2 linked regions of the Drosophila melanogaster genome follow. The protein of the gene in region 1 interacts with the protein of each later gene in a pairwise test. Each region holds a gene or a part of one and is shown on either strand. Other genes may lie near its edges. The genes, in order: Alp6 and gNacalpha.

What was found.
Region 2: the proteins of Alp6 (region 1) and gNacalpha interact in a two-hybrid assay, tested with the Drosophila melanogaster proteins (one large-scale study listed by BioGRID).

What each region holds. Positions count from the first base shown.
Region 1 is NT_033778.4:9,559,416-9,564,463, forward strand, and holds Alp6 (alkaline phosphatase 6), read left to right. Parts: upstream 1-2,222; 5' UTR 2,223-2,283; coding exon 2,284-2,353; exon of another isoform or gene 2,354-2,833; coding exon 2,834-3,990; exon of another isoform or gene 3,991-4,058; coding exon 4,059-4,379; 3' UTR 4,380-4,456; downstream 4,457-5,048. Other genes in the region: Or45b (odorant receptor 45b), read left to right, coding at 183-706, 765-952, 1,012-1,187, 1,245-1,343, 1,394-1,546, 1,603-1,653.
Region 2 is NT_033779.5:1,035,502-1,039,271, reverse strand, and holds gNacalpha (germinal nascent polypeptide-associated complex alpha subunit), read right to left. Parts: upstream 2,027-3,770; 5' UTR 1,894-2,026; coding exon 850-1,893; 3' UTR 766-849; exon of another isoform or gene 739-765; intron 694-738; 3' UTR 587-693; downstream 1-586.

The sequences.
Region 1 (5,048 bases):
ATTACCATAATAACATGTTTTGAACGTCAGAGATCGTCGCCCACTCAATTATGTCCTTCAAGTAATCCCGTCATTAAACACGACCAGGTGTCGTTTGTTCGGACTGCAAAACAATTATTAAACCATTAGGAGGTATGAATGGGGCGCTATATAAGGAAAGGGTTCTGTAAGCGGTTAAAATCATGTATCCGCGATTCCTCAGCCGTAACTATCCGCTGGCCAAGCATTTGTTCTTCGTCACCAGATACTCCTTTGGCCTGCTGGGCCTGAGATTTGGCAAAGAGCAATCGTGGCTTCACCTCTTGTGGCTGGTGTTCAATTTCGTTAACCTGGCGCACTGCTGCCAGGCGGAGTTCGTCTTCGGCTGGAGTCACTTGCGCACCAGTCCCGTGGATGCCATGGACGCCTTTTGTCCTCTGGCCTGCAGTTTCACCACGCTCTTCAAGCTGGGATGGATGTGGTGGCGTCGCCAGGAAGTAGCTGATCTAATGGACCGCATCCGCTTGCTCATCGGGGAGCAGGAGAAGAGGGAGGACTCCCGGAGAAAGGTGGCTCAAAGGAGCTACTATCTCATGGTCACCAGGTGCGGTATGCTGGTCTTCACCCTGGGCAGCATTACCACTGGAGCCTTCGTTCTGCGTTCCCTTTGGGAAATGTGGGTGCGTCGTCATCAGGAGTTCAAATTCGATATGCCCTTTCGCATGCTGTGTGTGATGTTGTAGCATGTCAGTGAGGATTAGATGTTCTGATTAGATGTTCCACAGGTTCCACGACTTTGCGCATCGCATGCCCTGGTTTCCAGTTTTCTATCTCTACTCCACATGGAGTGGCCAGGTCACTGTGTACGCCTTTGCTGGTACAGATGGTTTCTTCTTTGGCTTTACCCTCTACATGGCCTTCTTGCTGCAGGCCTTAAGATACGATATCCAGGATGCCCTCAAGCCAATAAGAGGTGGATGGTCCATTATGCATATGGCTAACATTAAATTCGGGTGTATACTTTCTAAATAGATCCCTCGCTTAGGGAATCCAAAATCTGCTGTCAGCGATTGGCGGACATCGTGGATCGCCACAATGAGATAGAGAAGATAGTCAAGGAATTTTCTGGAATTATGGCTGCTCCAACTTTTGTTCACTTCGTATCAGCCAGCTTAGTGATAGCCACCAGCGTCATTGATATACTATTGGTAATAGCCGTCCTTTTAAGTGATAAGCACACTAACTCAAACCAATAGTTTCTATAGTATTCCGGCTATAACATCATCCGTTACGTGGTGTACACCTTCACGGTTTCCTCGGCCATCTTCCTCTATTGCTACGGAGGCACAGAAATGTCAACTGAGGTGGGACAGGTCGAGTCTCTTGATTAACCTTTGACCTCTTTCATTTCTAGAGCCTTTCCTTGGGAGAAGCAGCCTACAGCAGTGCCTGGTATACTTGGGATCGAGAGACCCGCAGGCGGGTCTTTCTCATTATCCTGCGTGCTCAACGACCCATTACGGTGAGGGTGCCCTTTTTTGCACCATCGTTACCAGTCTTCACATCGGTGGGTTATAATCTGTATGGCACTTAGTGCAATCCACTAATGAAACCCTTTTTTAGGTCATCAAGTTTACAGGTTCGATTGTGGCACTGGCTAAGACGATACTGTGAAAAAGAGTGTTGAATTAAAAAATAACCAAGTACTTAAATTTAATAGCTACTATTTTGTATTAGTTTGTGGTTGCAGCCTAGCCCAAAAGTATGCAATTTACACAATACATATACAATTGTGCAGACTCGAAGTCAATTAATTGCCGGGGTCAAGGGTTCAAATGTGGGATTAAAGGGCTTGCCGTAAAGTTTGAACCATAAAGTTTTCTAGTAGCAGTGAAACCATTTATTCTTCATCGTTTAACAAAGCTACTGGCATGATTCAATAAATTTGAGTGCAATAAGTTAGCAATGTTTAAAAGTTGAGGCAAACAGGATTGCCCCGGCTTCAGATTGATTACGTAGGTCGTAGTATACGCAATCGGTTAATGGACAGAGAATCAAAGCCATAAGAAAGGCACGTGAGTGTGTTTTGGCATCGGTTTCGGTCTGTTCTACGACTTCTGTCAACTTAAACTTGGCCAGCCATAAATGATGATTTGATTGAACCGTCTAGATTAGTTTCCTTTGATTAGATTTACTCTGATACTGAGCGATAGCTCCGAGGCAGCGCCCAGTTCCTTGGTCGGTCAGTCGGTTTAGTCTTTAACCAAGGTCTGACCTCCACACCACGCCTGGGATTAGCTGAAAATGGCCAGGAGATTCATTCTGTTGCTCGTCTTAGCTGTCTGCCTGAGCGGAAGTGCCAGCGGACAAAGAGGTAAGGTGCTCTGAAGCTGGATTTTAGAACTCAGCGATACCTCAAAAGTGTTTTTATTTAGAATAGTTCGAAAATGTTTAGGTATTTGAATTTATTTTGTTTTGTACGCCAGTTCAGGGAATTTATTTTACAAGCAGCTTAACTATTTAGATAACTACGAGTATAAAAACATGTCAGATTTTATGTTTGTCCTCCCAAAGGATGTGTTATTTTGACTGGCGCTGACTTGAGATTCAGCGTGCAGGACGAGGTACTTTGAGATTAAGTTCTTTAAAATAACTTCTTATCTTCCAAGTTTACTTGAAAAAAATGTGTAGAGGAGATAAGACTCAAATAATCCCATTGATATATAACAGAAAATCCAAACCCAAAATTATTTATGATCCTTCTATTTTTTGACCAATGCTAATAGTTATATTGGCTTATCGGAAACCTCTTATTGTTATAGTAATTATTGAACTATTTTGCCATTCTTTTCAGACCACCCTCGTGGGCGTTCCTTTGATGCCGAATCGCATCCGATCAAGTATGCAGAGGAGCAGCAGACCCAGTACTGGGTGGATAAGGCCCAGGCGAAGCTGTTATCGAAGCTGGCCGAGCAGGAGTCCGCGACCACAAACAAGGCGAAGAACGTGATTCTGTTCCTGGGCGATGGAATGTCCGTTCACACGGTCACGGCCACCAGGAATCTGCTAGGCGACAGTGCGGAGCAGGTGTACTTTGAGGGATTTCCCTACACTGGCTTGTCCAAGACCTACTGCGTAAACCGCCAGGTGGCCGATTCTGCTTGCACGGCCACCGCCTATTTGGGCGGTGTGAAGGCGAACTATGGAACGATTGGCGTTAACGCCAATGTGTCCAGGTACAGCTGTGATGGCGCCGCCAACGAGGAGGATCGGGTGCTCAGCATCGCGCATTGGGCACAGGCGGCTGGCAAGGATGCAGGTCTGGTGACTACAGCCCGGGTAACTCATGCATCCCCAGCTGGTGTTTATGCCCACATCGCGGATCGCAATTGGGAGAACGACTGGGAGGTGGCCAACAGGGAGTGCGATCCCGAGCAGACCATCGATATTGCCCGTCAGCTCGTGGAGCAGCCTGTGGGTCAGCAGCTGAAGGTAATCCTTGGAGGCGGTCGCAAGAACTTCATCGACGCAACGGTAAATGATGAGGAGGGTTATCCCGGCAAGCGTACCGACGGTCGTCACTTAATCCGCAGTTGGTTGGATCAGAAGAAGGAGGCCAATGTCTCAGCCAAATACGTGTGGAGTCGCAAGGGACTCAGTCTGGTGGATCTCGAGAATACGGACTACCTATTGGGTCTCTTTGCCAATGATCATCTGCCGTACAACGGTGATCGGGACAGGAAACGTAGTCAGTTGGCGGATCCTTCGCTGAGTGAGCTCACGGAGGCTGCCATCACGGTGTTGAGCCGCAATGACAAGGGATTCTTTCTCTTCGTCGAGGGTGCTCGTATCGACATGGCCCACCACGATACCTTCGCCAAGAGATCCCTCGAGGATACCGCCGAGTTTGCGAGGGCTGTCCAGAAGGCTCGCGAACTTACCTCCGAGGATGACACACTGATCGTGGTGACCGCTGATCATGCTCATGTTATGTCCATCAATGGTTATCCTGTGAGTACTTGAAAGTTTCCTTTCTAACAGCGATAGGTATTTGACTTATGATTTCTGAATTCCGGCAGTATCGTGACCAGGAGATCACCGGATTGGCTCAACTGGCGGATGATAATCTGCCCTATACGATTTTGTCCTATGCCAATGGACCTGGCTACTACTCCGGCTACAATCGCGCTGAGGGACGTGCCCTTCTAAAGGAGAAGTTGGTTGCGGACTCAGACTATCAGTATCCCACGCTGGCGCCCTTGGACGCAGAAACCCACGGAGGAGATGATGTGGCGGTGTATGCCTCGGGACCCTATGCCCAGTACTTCAGTGGCAACTACGAGCAAAGCAATATTCCGGCGCTGATGGCCAGAGCAGCGGGTATCGGGCCCTATGCCTAGGATTTGGCTGATTTTCTTGGCGCATGTAAAACTCCTCTCGCTGAGATGGAATAATTAAAATGCATCATTGCTAAACGAATCTTGCATGGGAAACTGTACCGGGAATGGGGCAAATCGAATTCCGTCTAATTGAACTGACAAGCTGTGCAATTTCCTGTGGAGCAGGGGAGCTGCCCCCCCAATAAATGCCACCTGACGGCAAATTCAATTAACTAGCAATGGCAACTGGCATCTGACAACCTGCAGGCAGCCTCAATCAGTCAGCTGCAATCACTTTGGGGCTGAGCCAATTGACCAGGTGGTTTCTGGCCAAATGAAGAGAGAAACGCGGCCAGAAAGAATGGCCAGCCATCAGCCATTATATGTTTCATCATAAATCCCAGAAAATATGACATTCAAATGGAATCCATCGACAATCCGTGCATTTCCTGCTTTAAAGATGGCTATGAATATCTAAGTGGATTTATTTAAAATGGGCTTTGACTGTCAAAGAAATACATTCAATGGATTCAGGTTGGAATCGTCAGCAAGGTAACAAAAATCAGCGCTGAAAATCCTCCTGGAAAAAATTTATCATATCTTTCCGAAGGATAAGGCTTTAAAATTAACATTTTTCCCATATTTTCAATCGCACCTCTATAAGAATGTTTCATTTTGGATTCAGTTAAT
Region 2 (3,770 bases), on another chromosome or scaffold:
AGAGCCGGAGCTAGTCATTAAGTGGCTTTTGGGGCCAGAAAAGGGACGTTGAACGTAGTCGAGCCATTTAATTGAGTCAAATGTCCGCGGAGCAGGACTTGCGTAGCCACGTCACCAGCAGCGACGTCACCTGTCTCACCTGGGAGTACCCCTGAAATCCCCTGAAAGAGCTGAAACGCAATCACGGCGTCGTCAAAAATTCGCCAGCAAAAAATGCAAAGTCGAGTGCCGGGGGACTTCGCCAAATGGCTAAAAACTAAGTGCAGAGTAAACAAGAGTGCAGCGTCAGCGGCACAAAGAAAGAAGCGATTAAGTTTCCGCCACAGAGAAAATGTCCAAGAATGACGGTACCTGAAAGGAAAATTGCCAAAGTCTAGCGCTGATGGAAGAGCAAATACGAGTATAATGAAAATGGTTCGGGTTCGCATATGCGTTCTTCGCCCTTCGGAAAATGCTTTCACTGTGCCAAGATGGAAATGGTGGAAATGTCAATTCATTAGAAAATTGAAATAAGATGGCAATTTCGCTGTACAAAGGGGTTCTTCAGTGGGATTCTTCTGCTGGGACCGAAAACATTTTCAAAAACCAGGAAATGATCGGCATTTAATATAGTACGAGCTACATTGGCACCGGAGATTGTCATTCTTGTAGAACAAGCCATCCACCAGGAGAAGTGAAGTCCGAAAGGATTGTCTGGATTACATGAAAGTATAGTAAATAAAAACAACATGAAAGTTTACGATTTGATTGTAATCATTTAATTACCATTAATTTCTATGGCGAACATGGATGTTATTGAAATTCTCTTTATTTCATGACTTTGAATACAAAGGAGCCACTCAGAGCGACTTAACCCACAGTCAGGGCCATGATGGCATTGACCACATCGTTGTCGTTCTTCAGCAGCGCCTGGATCGCCTTTTTGCGCGAGCACGCGGCCTGCATCTGTACCAGTTCGATGTCCTTCGCATGTAGGCCCATGGCATCCGCGTCCTCGCCATCGTTCTCGTCGTCGTCGTCGTCGTGTGGGGACTCCTCGCCAGGGGCTTTTCCATCCTCGTTACCTTGCCGCCCGGCAGGCGAGGTTCCACGGAATCGCTCGGCCGCCTTGACAGCTGCCTGGGAGGCGACGGACGTGGTGCTAGTGTCCTCCACGCAGATCTCCCCAAAGAAGATGTACGTCGACGAGTGCGCCACTCTGTAGACGTCCGGCTGATCGATGTACAAGAGGATGTTCTTGCCCTTCTTCATGGTCACTCGGGCCACGTTCTCCATGGGCTTCAGGTCCAGCTTCATGAGGATCCGGCGTGCCTTCCGCTCGCCGCGAGACTGCTTTGATACCTCACGTGTTCGCACGGCCACCGTACCGAGTTGACCCTGCTCGTCCGGTTGGGTCTCCTTGGGATCCGCTTCCACGAGATCCGGGGCGTCATCGGAGTCCGTGCTCTGATCATCCTCAACTACGCAGGATTTCGCGGCGGAGGCGCCCTCCTCCTTCTGCGAGTTCGGCAGACTGAACACATTGGGCGGCAGCTGTTTGGCCAGGCTCATCAGCTTCTTGATCTTGTTGCGGTAGGCCGGGTCCATTTGACCCATGATGTGGGGCTTCCCCTTTGCGCCACTAAAGCCTGCCGGAGGTTTATTCTTGACATCCAAGGCGTCTTCCGAACTGGAGATCTCCTTCTGAAGTGCCTTTGCGACGTTTGGTTTTTGCGTTGCCTTGGGCTTCCCTTTTTTTCCACTGCCACTTGGTGAGGGAGAGGCTTCTTCGGCAGGCTTTTCTTTGGCCACCACGTTGTCGGCAGCGGTCTTCGATTTCTCGGCAGCGGTCTTCAATTTCTCGGCAGCGGTCGCCATCTGGGCAGCCTTCTTCATTTTCTGCTTCTTACCCATCTTGAGGAATAAACAGCAACTGAGGGATTTGCGATCACAGATTTGCGAGGACAACTTCTCCAAAAAAATTTCCAAATTGGCAGCGCACGTGGTGTGACCTCTTGCGGGAAAGACTTGACAGGAAATATCAGAGGTGAAACTTCCAGTGGCTTGACAGCTGGTGTTGCTCTCTTCGATAAGTGCTGTTGCGAAATTTGGTATACTTATCGAAAAGTTTTTTCATAATGAAAACTGGAAATTTTTTATGCTAATGGCACCTAAATAGCGAAATAAACAATATCAAGTGTTGCTTTCGGAAAGATTATAAGTTTTTAAAATGGCCACTCGGCCATTCGAACATGCAGAGCACGCCTAAGTCTATCGATATCGATAGGTCCCAGTGCAATCGTGAACTGATTATAGGCGTTAGCAGCGCTGCTCTGAAGAAAGTTGGTATTTTTCAAACGAGAATGTCAGCTGCCTTCGAACTGTGCACTTAATTTCGCGGTTATAAAAGTTTTGCTGCAGCGCCTCGCAAATTCTATCGAAATTGATGATTGCAAATCAATCCACTGCAGTGACGTGCTTGAAAATTTTCACCTGACAAAGCCAGTTTAAAAGTGGTGGAGAAATGAAAAGTTCAGCGGTTATTTGGGTAATATTCGAATATGCAAAGTCGTAAAACTCGGATGCCCGGAAAATGCCAAAGACCTGAATCTGAAGCTGGTTCCTCCGTGTTAATTGCTGTCGTGGTCGCACCGCAGTCTGCCTCCAAAGCGGAGCAGCCCCACAAACACGACGCGGTGGAGCAAGCGCGGTTACACGTGCGGTTTTCCTTGCGGTTTTCCGGCTCCCGAATTTCCCAGATCAGGCGGTTCAGGGCGGGGCTGTGTGATCCTGTTTTGCGTTCTGCGTGTGGCGAAAAAACACTTGCTAAGTGCATTAAAAAAGTGCCACGCCCTATTAGGGCGCTCTTCGTGTTACGGAAATTACATCACAATTCGAGACAACCGTACAATAAGAATATGAGCACGTATGGATCAAATCCCCAATGGAGTTAACATAACATTTAGCATAATTTTCATGAATTCTGACCTTTCCTATTTCCTACATAACAGGTATGTGGTAATCGGGAGCATGTATTGCATTTTTTCTGCAAGCCGCTGCGCTCTGTCTGATGATGCGTTTTTAATTGCTCGGTTCTTTTAATTAAAGTTCGAGCGAAAGAAGGGCGTCCACCACCTGCAATTATTAAACTTTATCGTGGGGTCAACGCCTAATTGAGTTGCACAAATTATTCAGGAGAGGCGAATGAAGCAGCAGGAGGAGGACTAGGAGGATGTGGAGGGCAGGAGACCGAGGATGCATCCGGCTGCCGCCGCAGAGTCTGTCCTGTCACCATAATTAAATTCGAGAGGCCAACTAATCAGATATTCCCTTTGCCCAGCCATGAGTCCTCGCATCTTAACATCTCGGTCGATTCGATTCAATGTTGCTCGGTTAAGTTAAGTTCTGCGCGGACTTGGAACTCGGAGACCCGGAGAGCCGGAGAAGGGTGAAAAGTTTTTGGGCGTCCTGGCACGTTCGTCCCATGATTAATTATCCGCCCCATATGCTGCGGTGTCATCTGGGCCCATCCAACTTATTGGGGCTTAGTCTTAGCCTCGAAGTTTAGTTTCTGCTGCCACGGCCTGTGCATGAAAAATGAACCCAATTCGGAGGCCCACCAGGACGAGGTCTTCACTCTCCTTCAAGGCAACGAGGCCCACAGAAGCCGCTTTCTGGGGGCAAAAATCTGTAACGCATTAATCATGCAAGTTTCGAGAAATGATTGAAATCATATTACCATGTCGTAGACATGTTATAACCAAAGATGTTTCCGTAATTGAGATCTTGGC